Mytilus edulis: one gene and its partner. The protein of the gene in region 1 interacts with the protein of each later gene in a pairwise test. Links are inferred from orthologs where the notes say so. Each region holds a gene or a part of one and is shown in the gene's direction. Other genes may lie near its edges.

What was found.
Region 2: the proteins of B-cell lymphoma/leukemia 11A-like (region 1) and nuclear receptor subfamily 2 group E member 1-like interact in a two-hybrid assay, tested with the Homo sapiens proteins (2 studies listed by BioGRID). The link is inferred for Mytilus edulis from reciprocal best matches to the Homo sapiens genes BCL11A and NR2E1.

Annotation. Positions count from the first base shown.
Region 1 is NC_092346.1:7,240,107-7,247,398, reverse strand, and holds the start of B-cell lymphoma/leukemia 11A-like, read left to right. Parts: upstream 1-4,243; 5' UTR 4,244-5,173; coding exon 5,174-5,225; intron 5,226-7,292. UniProt on the Homo sapiens protein: Transcription factor. Associated with the BAF SWI/SNF chromatin remodeling complex. Binds to the 5'-TGACCA-3' sequence motif in regulatory regions of target genes, including a distal promoter of the HBG1 hemoglobin subunit gamma-1 gene.
Region 2 is NC_092353.1:25,811,624-25,819,598, reverse strand, and holds the start of nuclear receptor subfamily 2 group E member 1-like, read left to right. Parts: upstream 1-4,933; 5' UTR 4,934-5,074; coding exon 5,075-5,102; intron 5,103-7,975. UniProt on the Homo sapiens protein: Orphan receptor that binds DNA as a monomer to hormone response elements (HRE) containing an extended core motif half-site sequence 5'-AAGGTCA-3' in which the 5' flanking nucleotides participate in determining receptor specificity.

The DNA of each region.
Region 1 (7,292 bases):
GTTTAATAATGACGATTTTGACTTTTACCGTTCAGGAGTTATGGTTCTTGAAAGATTGAAAAATGGAGTTTCCAGTTGTGTCCGTGCATTTACGCATGAACTGTTCTACCAAAGCTTCCCAAATTTTAATATGTTGTTACTGATGACAAAATAGAGGTCAAGTTAAATAATGACGATTTTGACTTTTACCGTTCAGGAGTTATGGTTCTTGAAAGATTGAAAAATGGTGTTTCCAGTCGTGTCCGTGCATTTTCTCATGAATCATTCAACCAAAGCTTTTGGCATTTTTATATGTTGTTACTGATGATAAAATAGAGGTCAAGTTCAATAATGATGATTTTGACTTTTACCGTTCAGGCGTTATGGTTCTTGAAAGATTGTAAAATGGCGTTTCCATTCACGTTGTTGCATTTACTCATGAACCATTCAATCTAAGCTTTTCAAATTTTAATATGTTGATACTGATGACAAAATGGAGGTCAAATTTGATATTGACGATTTTCACTTTCACCATTCATCAGTAATGGTTCTTGTGATATTGCCAGGACACAAATAAATATTAATAAATCCGGTTTGCTGTCGTTGTGACAGCCTCTTGTTTTAAAATGATAGGGATTTTGAATAAAGTATATTCACCGCACAAAACGTCGCGTGCTTTTACGTGTACATAATAACGATACACTGTTTGACGTTTAGTTGGTTTTGTTTAAATAACTGTTGCTTTATAAATAATTCGTCTCTTTTTGAACATGGAACAAAACAACTACTGTCTTTTGTTTCGGTAAATATGTGGTTTATTTGACTTTTGAAAAACCTAGTGACATTCATATCGGCCTTAGGCCTAAGTGAATATCATTTTTTTTTTTAAATCAATAAAACCACACATTTACCTCATCAAAAGACAGAAATTGTACAATATCTTATCCATATTTATAAAAATGAAAATTATGGGAATGACCCCCCTGCCTTTTGAAATATACATTTTGTAGTTATGTTATACTTTAAATGGGTTCATACTATACTCGTGTTTTCTCCTCTATACTGCATATACACTGGCCTATAAAAAAATATTGATCTGTAAAGTGGTGGATAGCAGAAATATAATCTGTCAAGTTTCATCTTCGAGATCGGAAAGCGACGCCTATCCCTCGCCTTTTCGGTCGCGTTTTGCAGCATCAACCTATCAGAAAGATAAAATTGAGAATGGAAATTGGGAACATGTCAAAGAAACAACAACCCGACCAAAGAGCCGAAAACAGTCGATCTACAACGCAGCGAGAAAATCCCGCTACCGGAAGAGAGTCTATATTAAACATCTATATATTTATCTTCGTCCATTTCAAATTATAATGGTGTTTTCGAAAAACGTTCTTAAACCCGTATACTTAACTGTGCAGTATCACAGCCTTACATTAGTTTGTTTCAACACTATTTCGTTTTTCTAAACTTGTAGCCTAATTATATGAATGCCCGGGAAAGATGACTCAAGACTTTTAAAAAAAAATGATAGGTTGAATTTGCAATTTTGTAGTATTCTTTAAAAAATAAATAAAAAGAGTAAGCTTAACCAAAATCTAGTCTTTTTGTAATAAAGCTGGATATTTTAAAAAGAAATTGTAATTGTACTGTCGTGCGTGTGTCGCAAGTCGGTCGTGTGACAGTCGTGCGATAATCGTACGACAATCGTGAGTTGTTTGGGCTATTTTTCAGGTTTTCATGTCATGGGATGCGCGTCACTGTCGTGCCACTGTCGTTCGACTGTTGTGCCACTGTGATGCGACTCTCAGAGAAAGCTGTTGAAACATCATCGCGGCAAGGCATCATCTGTATGAATTCAACGAAATCACTGGCAGATTCCCGCTCCAACTATTGCATCAGTGTACTATACTGCCCAAACACGTACCAGGCGTCGTTCGATCCATGGCTTACCAACAAACGTCGGGCGTTTCGCTGGTTCCTTTACCGTTCACAAGCTTGAATTAACGCTTACAGAACCATATTTTGCCCGACTTTGTGGTGTTACATATTACAAAGTCTTTCCAAATTATTTTTGCAAAAATTCCGCTCAAATTGGTTCTTGGGTCAGTCATAATTTGCAGTAAGGTGAGAGTTTTAAAGTCCTCACTGTGAATTTGAGAAGAAAACGGCAACAAAAGCGCTGTTCCTTTGCATTTTCGGTGTTTGTGTCTATACATGAACTCATGGATTTTCTGTCATGGAAGGATACCACATATTATTTTTTTTATTTTACAGAAAAAAATTAAAACTTGTATCAATTTATCAAAATAATCACCAACATCAAGTTAAGCACTGAATAACATACTTTCACTCTATAAATACATGGATAATGTCGCAAGGTCCATGAAGTATATTACTTAGAATTATTTGTATATTCAACATGGTTACGTCAAGATCGAATTTAAAGCTGCGTATTACTTATTCTCATGAGGAATCGGTACCGTCTCATTATACTAAGCCTTGTTTAGCTTAACTCATTTTTTTCAAGACTTGTATGACATTATTACAATTAACCACATCCATGAAAATCAAATCCTTTAAGGGATTAAGAGAAATGAAAAATGAGAATCCTTGCGGTTTCGAATATATATTATATGTATAGATACAGAGGTTTGCCTCGATATCAGTATCCTAAAAATCACTCAGGGTTGATATACAGTACCTTACAACTGCATGTACTGCAGGAGTCCTTTTGCGCCAATAACTGTATTTCAAGGGTATCATTTGCGCTATTTTTTTTCTTTCAAATGTATCAATTGCGCCAATATTCGGAAATCATTAGTTTGTGCCAATATACAGTATTTTACAACTGCGTATACGGCAGGAGTTCTTTTGCGCCAATTACTGTTTTTCAAAGGTATCCTTTGCGCTAGAAATTAATCTTTCACAAATGTATCTATTGCGCCAATATTCGGAACTCATCAATTTGTGCCAATTAACCTGTACGCATTTTTCCATACACTATTGTATTTGATGATAATGCTTTGGACCCTCCATGACGTAAGAGCTAAAATCCCATCTACCGTAAAACATACCAATATAACAAAGTACCCGTTCAGAAAAGAAAACATTTGCCGTTCAAAAGTATGAGATATATATGCAGGAGACCTCAGCCACAGTAATTTTGTGTGTAAAATGAGTTACAAAATTCAAGCTTTAAATAAAATGATACTATGTAATTTTAAAGTTATACGTCCTTGAGCAAACGTAGTATTGGAGAAAAAAGTTCTAGAGCAAAATGACGCATTTTTGGCGCAAACGGATTTCAGTGCGTACGGAGTATTGTGAATCTCTCGCTCCGAGCCTAGAAACCTGTTAATATCTTTAACATACAAAGACTGCATGTGCAACAAAAATCACACATCTTCATGAATCAGAAAACACAAAAAAAAAATAAGCTGATTTAAGACATGATGATCCAACGGGGTATATCTAATATTTGTTCTTTTGATTTTGGTTCTTTTTTTTATTTTTTTTCGATGTATTTTTTTACTTTAATTCGAATCCTTAAAATAAGTAAGAAAAACATCATAGAGTGCGTGCAATAAATATTACTATTCTATTTTCTTTTTTTTTAATTTTTTTTATTCCTTTTTTTTTTTTTTTTTTTTTTAATTTACCAATACTTTCTTTAAATCACTCCTTGGCATCAGAAAAATTTCATAGAAAGCGTACTATATAAATTACCAGTCTATTTTTATTTACGTGTTAATCAAACTTTTAATATTTTTATATTATTTTATCTTAGTAACTAAAATAAATATTGAATATAATTTATTAATATTACTTATAATAATACTGTTGCTTTTAGTCATCCGTTATTCACTTCAAATGTTTTCTTTATTTCCGTAGAGATAATCGTGTCCACCTGTTGAATACACAAACATTTCCGTTAATGACCACTGGCTATCACCCGAGTTGACCTTTGGTCAGTTGTGGTCAGTCTTGATCGATAACATGGTATTTAATAGACGTCTGGACAACGGTTATTTAAGGTCAGCTGTTCACCTGAAATGAACTACAAGCTACAAGGTGTCGACGATAAGGAATATGTATTGCAGAAGAAAAAAACTTGGATTGGGTAAGATTGTATAATAGCGTTTATTTCCCTTTAAACATAACATTATTCAATAACATATAATAATGAAGAAAATATTAAAAAGCAACTGTCCACTGAATCAATATCTATAAATAATTTATGATATGTTTTTCTTTGTTAGATTCTCTTATCACTTTGATCAACTGATACACAACCATTGGACAAAACTGTCATTAAAAACTTATCATATCGGACATTGACCAGAAAGTAAGTGACCGTTACAATCAAAAACAGACAACTTCAAGGTGTTTTATTTATTTATAGTATATATGTGTGTCAATTCAATCAGTTAGCAAGTGCCAGCAGTTTCTGTAAATGCAAACGGAATGCAGAAATTATTGGTGAATACACATGCGGAAATGATGGTCACACTTGCAGATGTAAAATCACGTAATATTGCGCAAACCTCTTACCCCTTTTGATGTAATAGACTGTGCCGGTCGGCGGGGTCATTTGCTTGTAACATTACGGGCCACCACGCATCAGTTGACCGCACGATTACAAGGCGTTTTGACGACAAAATTTTACTTTTCAAAAACCCAATATGTTATTTTATATTGATTAATGACTGAAATCATACATATATATATGTTTGGTCAGGAGTCAGTGACTTTACCGGGATGAGAACGGCCGCAGCAACTCAACTGGACTAAATGATGGCGATGAAAGTGACATGTGCTTGATGTTGATTTCTATAAACTGAAACTAGAACAATACACAAAATACATTATTATATCGTAGATCTATTTAAGTTCACGTAAGAAATAGGATATTTACGTCCACTACAAAAGGTCTCCACGATAAACAGTTGCTTTCATTCGTCGAGAGGGTATTTCCTGATCGTGGTCAGTGTTCATTACGTTGTAGCGGTCAGTGGCATAAGTGACCTGAAGTGACCCCAAAGGACTTGTCCTGATGATGTAAACTTTGGAATGGAAGATAAGTAAGAAGACAGGTGAAGAAGACACATTACATGAAAATCCGCCATCTTTGTTGATATTCTTTGTCCAGATGTAGAAAAGGCAGTGGAGAGTTGGTTTTAATGAGCATAACAACATGTCCAGGAGAAAACAGGGGCGGCCACCACAAAGACGGACCCTAGATTCTCGTAAGTTGTCATTTTTTTTATATTGTCTTTCTTTTATTTTCTATTTTTTTATTTAAATATAAAATGGTCACCGTGGACCATGTCAAATATGTGTGTTGACCAACGGGGACAAGGTTACGTATTAGTTGTGTATTCAGTTATGTTGTAATACACATGTGACGCGACAATACACATTCTTTTCTTTTCAATTTCGACATCTCTTTTCATCAACTATTAAACAAAAAGACTGATTGGTTTTTATATCTACATTAATTTCAAGCACCTGTTTAAAGTATAGAATGTTTCATTTTGGTGACAGTATTTGTGTCATCTTTCTACATTCAGTTCTTTATAACCCAGTATTTTTGGATTAACAAACTTCATTGATTTTTAATACATGAATGGAAATAGTAAAAATAGAAATTAATTTATATTGGAAGAATATATAGTGAGTATTGTATTGTCATCAGAGGTGTACTTTTAGTTAGTTTTTATTTTAAATCTTTTAAATTTTTTTCTGATAAATGTTTCTCCCTCTCTCTCTCATTTTATTTTTTCCTTTTTTTTTTTTATTTGAATGAACTTTATCAAATAGATGATTTTATTTGAAAGAAAAATAAGAATACTTATTTCCATTTCCTACTAAAAATTTCAAAAAATAGTTTTGGGAACTTTTTATCTGGAAGAAATTTAGCAGTATGCGCACATGTATGTTAATTTAGAGGTTAAGATAAACTGTTTCATTTTAATAATCTTCACCAATTTCAATGTATATTATATTTTCCCATGGTGTTTTTATATGTATGTCTAGTGTTATATGCATTAAATGTTTGCATACATTAGTGAAGTATTATTGTATATGGTCACTGGATTGTGTAATATATGAGAGTGGGCAGCAAAAAAAAGATATGAGTCATAGTGTCCATAAATATAGGTGTTATAGAACTGGTGTATATATTTGAAAGTCAGGGCATGTTTATTGTGTAATTTTAGATAAGACATTTTGACCTTGTCTGAGGCTTAAATGTCTAGCAACATTTTTTGCTACCCTGTTCTCAAAGGCCTCTAACTAACCATCGATCATATTTTATTATTTTCATATTAGATAAATTACTTTTTACAGCCTTTTAAAATTTGATTTTTTAACAATAATAGGTGTTTAAATTGCATTTTGAATGCACAATGTGCAATAGACTGTTGAATAATGTATTTTTTCATAACATTTAACACCCAGTTTTAAAAATCAATGTTGGACAAACACTTAATGCTTTATTTTTATCACAATTGAATTTTGATGCTTTTGAAATAATTTTTTTTACAAAGTATGAAATTTGATTTTATGTCTCTCCCTGAGTGGACCTCTACACCAGTGTACAGTTGCATTGTGCATTGATTGGTCACTGTTAGATAACATGTCAGTGGCGTAACTAGGTTTTTAACCCAGGCTAAAAAATTTAACAAACTTTGATAGGGAAGTTCGCTATTATGTAATTTTGATGATTTATCAAGGGATTTGTTGTAATTTTACTTCTGGATCTTAAATCAGATTGTAGCAAGATATTCAATAAAGAAAAGGAAAATTATAAATCTACTAAAACAAGTATTTTTTAAGTGTGCACAATTTCCTTTTAAGAAAATTCAACTGAACAATTAACTTATAAAATATATAAACTAGAAATTTTAAACAGCATTTATCTTAAAAAGAAATTTAATGAAAAATTAATAGACTTTGACATCAGCATCAGTTACTTTCTAAAGTCACATCTAGTTCCCTGTTTTGTCCCTGCAGATTTTATTTGAAGTTCATGCTGTGTGTATTCTGTAGATTAGATATGTGGACATTTTTTGGCTATTACACTAGGAATTGGCATGGGTAATAGATATTATGTTCCTCAAGTGATGTAAATGCTATTTTTAATATGTCTGACTGCATAACATATTTACAACAGATGAACACCTCTAAAAGCCATTGGTTTCTGCCCTCATTACACATTCCGGTAATAAGCCAGAAATTATCTCCCCTGCTACCACTCTTGAAACCTTGACAACAGATGGAGAGCTGAGAGGGGGAAAGAAGTACACAATTTC
Region 2 (7,975 bases), on another chromosome or scaffold:
TAAGATAACTGAATGTAAATATTTAAATACGACCTTCTTAAATCTTGTGATGGATCAAGGACTTCTTATTGTTTCTAGTCTAATATTCAAGTACATTTCCCATCAGTTTGTTGATCTATTTCGTTTTAATATTTGACATAACCAGAAGATATTTTTGTAATTGATGCCAAATATTCTACTTTCACATAGATTATTTAGACATCAACCCCCGTCAGCATTTGTGCAAATATGAGAAAAACAGAGGCAAATACAAGAAAAACAAAAGTCACCTGGCTTATCAAACGATGGAATAGCCAGAGGCAAAATCTGTGTTTTGATTGGTTAATTTCAATTTAATCCTAAACGTGATGATGGTAATCACATTAAAATGACACCACTGTTGGTTTATTGTTAATTTATATCCACGATAACTACATTTGCCAAAATATGTTTGTCCAAGAATTGAATCGTTGTTTTGATTAAATCATGACTGTAATGATGCAATTAATTTGCTGTCGATTTATCAAATCAAACGATTACAAGCTCCATGTCGTATAGCTCAGCGTAGTTTTCATTTGGATATAGGGTTTATATTAAGCATCGAACAAAAGCAATTTAATTTTCATTCAAAAACAGCTTCTTACAATCTGATTTATTACACCCAACATGGAATTATTATATAACACCTCCATGATCCATGTAAATCTACTAAAGCTTTTTTCAAACACAAGTTAATCGTGCATGGTGTCATTGCTGCGCGTGCTCCCTGAAAAAGCAACCACAGCGGACCAGCATTCAATTAAATGCAAGTGAAAATGTCTTTGATCATAATTTTTATATTTTGTGCGTTTTAGTCCTGTACGAATTGGCTATCGATGGCAGTTTGAGTTTTAAGTTACCGTGATTTTGTAAAAAAAAAAAAATTAAAAAAATATGAATTGTCACGTTCACCATTTCGACCCTCTTTAGTTGCCTCTAAGTTTGAGTTGGAATCGTTTTGATTAATCTTTTAGTTTTCTTTAAAATGGTTCACAACTATTCGTTTATTCTCTTAACCAACTGGTCAGTGTTTGGCGAGTGTAGCAGTTAAAAAATAATGCTGAAATTTTCCCAGCCACACTTTGATCTGAACAAAGAAAACATGTTTGTTATTTGGTTAACCATCCACTAGGGAAAAGCTTAATTTATACATGTAGCAGCCAAATTATTGAATTTGCATTTCTCGATTGCAAATGAATACAAAAATAAGGTTCTTGAATTTCCATAATAGAGTATATAATCATCAAAAAATAGAAGAGTCTTTTTCAGTGAAGACATGTACAATGCGTCAGAACAAACATATTAACTCATCATAGATACAAGGAGTAAAATTTTACTGGTTTATGAAATATAATGAAAACATTTTAATGTTGATTCTTAATAGATTACATGCTGTATGGCACAGAAAGAACTAAAAAGACATGTTGCATCAATTCGAGACTGTTGTACTTTCCAGCCAACATGGTTATCTATATCATAAGTAGCCTATTGAGTTAAGCCACTAAATTGTGTCTTTCTATGTTGTGTTGTTGGACTATTGTTTCAGGATTGGGTGAAACTTGGTGCCTATTTGAACGTTTAAACCTGCTGCAATTTTATTTTGCACCTATCCTAGGTCAAGAACCTGGTGTTCAGTAGTTGTTTGTTGATCTGGTTCATAAGAGTTTATCGTTTTTTATATGGATAAGAACTTTGGTTTTCCTGTTTGAATGGTTTTACACTAATAATTTTTTGGCCCTTTATAGCTTGCTGGACGGTGTGAGCTAAGGCTCCTTGTTGTGGCCGCACTTTGACCTTTGATGGTTTACTTTTTCCAATTGTGAATTGTCTTATTGGCACTCATACCACATCTTCTGATATCTATTATGAGTATGAAATGAAATTATTACTTATTGTATTTATCTTGTGTGTAGTTTTGTTTTAGGAAAAAGACAATACCTGTACGCATTATGATTTTTAATACATTGGTTTTCTATTTTCGAATCATTTTTCACCTTGTTAGACATTTACAAAGAAACTGCTGTCCATGAAATCCTATATCTTTTGCATACATGGCCTAATTTCCGAAACCAACAAGTACATGCATAGCTCAACATTTCATGCAATTGAGAAAAAAAAATGTGATAGAAGTTATTTCAGATATTTCAAAATATGTCTTGTATTTTGTAGAAATATAAATGGTTTAAGAAACAACAAAGATTAAACTGAATCACAGTAAATCTACTTGAAAATAATATTCCAAAATCTAACAAAACTTAGCTCTTGAAACAATTTAAATCTACATTAAAGGTTTTGGTCGGTGAAGCTCCTTGGGAATCTTTCCTATATCTTGTCCTATATGTAACACCTGTGAAAAAGACATCAATGCTATTATTTGCTAAATAACAAAAGAAACAAACATTATCATATCTAATTGAAAGTTTTAACAATATAACTTGTATAGACGTATACCAATTACCTGCAAGTTGTCTTCTAACTAAGTTGATGAAGTGGGATTATAAAACACAAATGGGATGTCTACGTTACATATATATAATACTTTCTATTATTACTATTGTGTATTGAAAAGACGGATCAACTGGTTAAGACTGAGACAAGTGGCTAACGTATTTTCAGACGATGCGACATCATTCCTATAGTCATTTTGTTTAAAACTTACAGATGGTTTAATCTATTTCTAATTGCCACTAAACGGCAGACATTGTCAAATGTGATTATTTTTAATCTGATACAAATTGCCAGTCAGTCGTTTAAGATAATCAAGGTTAGAATCTTATAACAAAATTAGTTCTTCAACTGTAAAGACACCAATTGTTTTCATCACTAATTTGTCTGGAAACACATGACGTTGCTTAAAAGATTTATCTCAAGAACTGTGAATATAGAAATAAGATTTACATAGTTTAATTGACAATGAGACAACTTTCCACTAGAAATTAAAGGATGTAAAAATAAGCAACCATATAAAGGTCACCGTACCGCCGTCAACAATGAGCAAAACACATACCCCATATATAGCTAGATATAGAAGACCTCAAAATAACAAATGAAACAATTGTACAATTTTTTTATTTACCTCATCCTTCATTGTGATTGAATGCGGGGAGATTGTTTCACCCATCTTGTGTTTGTGTACATGTCCCAATCCAGGAACATCGCCCGTGGTAATGTAGGTTGTCTTTTGTGCGATATCTTAATGTATTGTAATTTTTGTGAACTTGGACAAAACGACAGATCTTCGATTGTCTCTTCAAAGTCATTCCCAACTCTAAAAGCTTTACATATTGAATATATAGAAACAAGACCACGAGCCAAAGCTCCGTGTTGAAGACCGTACTTTGATTTATACTGGTTTACTTTTATAAATTGTAACTTTGATGGAGAATTGTCTCATTGGCATTCATACCACATTTTCTTATATCTTTACTAAGTTGATACTAATGCAATACTTTCTTTTATATATACACAATGAGATGTGCTTAGATTGCCCGAGAGCCAACTTTCCAACAGAAACAAAGGGACAAGGATGAATACAACTATATTTATAGGTAACCGGGGGGCCTTCAGCAATAAGCAAATCCCGCATCGTGTACAACTCTTTAAAATGATACGGAATGACAAAATGTGAAATAATTTAAAAGAGAAAGCAATCGACCGAATTTGTACTAAAACACCATAAATGTAACATAACTACACTTTACAAAAAACCATCACAGGTACATGACCCGATGGACGAGGCCTCACATACATGTTCATTGATGCTGAAGCTATGTATATTGAATATCCTTGACGTATAACACAAATGAAAATCAGAAAAATCTGCAAGGGTTCTAGTTTGAAGACACCCCTACAATAGTCTAGAATAACGCCTTTTGTATCGGCTCGCGACATTTGTAGCATGCAAGACTATATGTAAAATTGTATTGATATTCTGTTGCTCTGAAATGCTGTATAATTAATTTAAAAGAGTAAAAAAGGAATTAAATGATTTAAAAAAATATCTTAGTGATGGGTTTGTGCATCATCGCGTCGATGCAGGTTAAATTTTGCATAAAAACCCCATGTTTTTCCGAGTAGATAAATTTCATTTAATAGATAGATTTTAATCCTACAAGTTACAGCGGTTTACCTTTACAGCTATGTAAGTAAAACAGAGAAATTAAATTTATAACAATCAATAGTAACTGCATTTAAATTATTTTAAGGGTGGTGGAATTTATCTATCTTCTTCAAGACCATAACAAAATGATCATACTCATATTTTGCTTTTTTGAATTTGCGCAAATTTTATAAATCTAAATTCAAATTTAAATTTCAGTAAAAATAGAAAATAACATTGATTCATTGTTGGTTGTTTAACGTCCAGTGACAATTATTAGGAAATAACAATTAAATCTATAAATAATAATATTATATGAATCAATTAAACGATAAATACTATTTTCCATTCTCAATGTTGTTAAAAACATATGATGCAACGTAATAATAATTATATAAATATAAAATTTATAACAGTGTTTATTAATTGTTCTTACGATTTTCCAGATATAAAGTCTAGTACAATGAATCTAATTTTATCCTATTAAAAAAAAACATTTTTCTACATCTGTATTTGTAAAATACCCGATTATAAAGCATAAAAGTGAAAGGATATTTAATTTAAATCTCTGAACTGATACAGCTTTACCCTTATCAATATTTAGTTAAGGTAACAGGAGGGTAGATCATCTACAATATATTGTATTCTATTGACAAATCAAATGCAAACAAATTTTCACCTGTCCTTAAAACGACTCGTTACAATGCCTCTAATACGCAACACCTTTGTTGTAAAACAGCCAATCGCTCGTCGATTTGACTCGGGTATTCAAAAGGAATAATAAAACGGGTAGTCAATCAAATAGCATTTTAAAAAGTGTGAATAACAAAAACGTTTGGTCATTTTATAAAGTTAGTCAAGGGACTTCGGACATTTAAATCCACTTTCTATGGACTTATAACAAGTGATAAAGTTTAATATTTGGTTTCATCAACAGACTTAAAGCTGACAGCATCCATGATGAATAAACCTGCAGGAACTTCTAGTAAGTAGAAGTAAAGTACATAGGTAGTCATATAAAACAAAACGTTTCGTACTTACTAATTGCTTTTATTAACTTTAAAGGTAATGATTTCAACAGATCTATGATGACAACTTTGGGTGGTTTTTTTTCTTTTGATAAACAGGAACATATACAATGTTTTATTCTTCATGAATCTTAACTGAAAAAAAATTAGTCTGAAGAGTAAGTCTTTTTTAAAATAAAAACAAAAATACAATTTAAATGCAAAAAATTGCTCTCTGGCAAAAAATAAAAAACTTAAAAAAAACAAGGAATAAAAGCAATGTCACTAGCTCTATATTTACTAAGAGCTCTAATATTTACTAATAATTTATACAAATACATAAAAATACTGATACGGAAAATAGTCAAATACAGTTTTATCTGAGTTGATAATTTGATGCCGCTTTTGACTCTTCTGGAGTGTTGTCTCATTGGCAATCACACTACATCTTCTTATTCTTATATATAAGAACAATACATATTTTAGGTGGAAGTAAACCGTTAAAATCAGAACATTTTATCAATATAACAGCAATAAGTTGTCAATCTGCAATTCTATCTTTTATCCACAATATTAACATGTATGTAACAGCACATATTAACTTTTGAAACTTAGTTCAATTACTATCTGTAAGAAATATTAAAGAATTAAATAATCTGGGTAAATACCTGTATGAGGCAGAGAAAATCCGTAACACTTAATTTTTTTGTTAAATGTACTTTTATTACCAATGTAAATTGTATGCCAAACTCCGCTATATATTAATGCTGTATATGTCTATGTAAACTGTATAATTTGTGTATCTGTTTAATTCTATGAGCTGTATATTTGCTTACGGAATAAAGAATTATTATTTAGGGAGTTTGAAAGATGTGTCAATTAATTTTATTTTGAATTGCAATTAGATTATATTGAACAGTAATATTTTATATAAAAAAAACATTTCTTGCCTATTAATAAGAAGAACATTTTTGGATTTATACCTGCAATAAATATCTTTACCATTTTTTTAATTTTAAATAAAGCATATTGTATTGTACTGCGTTTATATTATGCTTTTTAATTGTGATTTCATGATTTTGTGCAAGCTTATCTGATGCTCTTATGTTAAACATAGTAGTACAATGTATATATATTAAAGTAAATGAATCTTTATCACTTTGTAACTGATTGAAATTAAGTTATATGTTGCTTTTTTATGACTGATAGACTAGTAGTTCAAAGATAGAAAACGACGTTTTTGCGTATATATATTTTCGTTTTTGCTCTCCTTTTTTGGGGATAAATTTCCTTTAAAATTTCTTTCTCGTCCAGTTTTCTGCTTATTAAGTATACTTTTTGGATCCTAGATGCTATGTCAACAAATGTGTATTTGAATACGTAAGCCTTTATCTAATTATTGTCTACTTAACATCTTAGTATATCCAGGGGCATGTCCATTTCGTACGAAAAAGCAAAGTTTGCCAGAACCATTTAACAAAACATGCAAACTTAACTTTTCAACATGAAGGGAGTCCTTTCATCTGGAAAGTGTTTACCTCACATTAAAATAGGATAATAGAATCCAGAGACATATACGTAGACATCGACTCCGGAAAGTCAGTTCAACTACAAAAGAAATTAAAGGAAGTCCAAAGGAAATTAACAAGATAATTGAAATAACAAATTGTACTTAATTATCTTTGCACGCGAGCACATTATTTGCAGACGATAAAGTTTACTGCTTCTTTAAGTCGTCATAGACACCACTAGAGGATTTAGAAGGCTTTTTTCTAAATTTTGTTTGCATCATAACGACCAAATTATAATCAAATGATTGGACAAAATGTATATATTTTGTAACATCAAAGGTGTAGAGATTGCACCATAAGAGTACACAAATCAAAAGCACTTTGATCATTTAAAGCCATTTCTTATTATTTAAAGTAAGTAAAAATGTGCTTTTAGTACAATTAAAAAAAATCAAAAAAATCTGTTAATTCGGTGCAGTACAAAAGATAGGGGAAAAAGAAGAAAAAAGCAATGGTCTAATTATTCTATACATATATAATTTTAATCTGTGTATTAATTATGTAGCATACATATAGTATTTCTGTGATTTAGTTTTTTTTTTTAAATCTAATTTTTGTAGTACAATTTATAAAATGTATTTTTTTTGGTAAAGTCTTAAAAAAATAAATGACAATTTTCTGCACTTGAGCTATCATTTAAAGGCAATTGTCATTGAATAAGCCTCTACGACACGTTGAGTAATATTTGTACTTGAATTTTTATTTGAATCGAGTTGAAAATTAAATATTTTTGTAGACTGGCAAAAGAGGATCATAGGTGTTAAATAATTTTGCCTTTTTGACTGTGGATTGGTGTAAATCTATTATTTTGAAAAACAGATATTAATTTGTTACATTGCAATCGTGTCCTAACTAAGCGGCTTTGAATCTACTGTACATTAAAAGAGTCAACCCTTATATCCCCTTTGAAAGAACTGTCGTAATACACTAAAAATTTACACCAATATAAATGACCAATTTGTGGATTTGACACGTTCTACGTTAATCAAATTGTCGACTTTTAACAAATTGTTTCAAATAACGTGACAATGGTGAATACATTGGATAACATACAAAAAACATGTGTTTAATTCGGGAATTTTAAATGAAATAAATTCCTCAAAAGATAAAATAATTGTAACACCTGCCTGAAAAAGTAAAAATTACTTCAATGTCATAAAGATGATTCTTCTGAAATACATTGGAAAGTAAATGTCAAATATTTGAAGATGGTTGCAATATAACGTTGACATTGTCATTAAACGATTACTTAATAAATGACTGTGTCTAAATTGAAATTT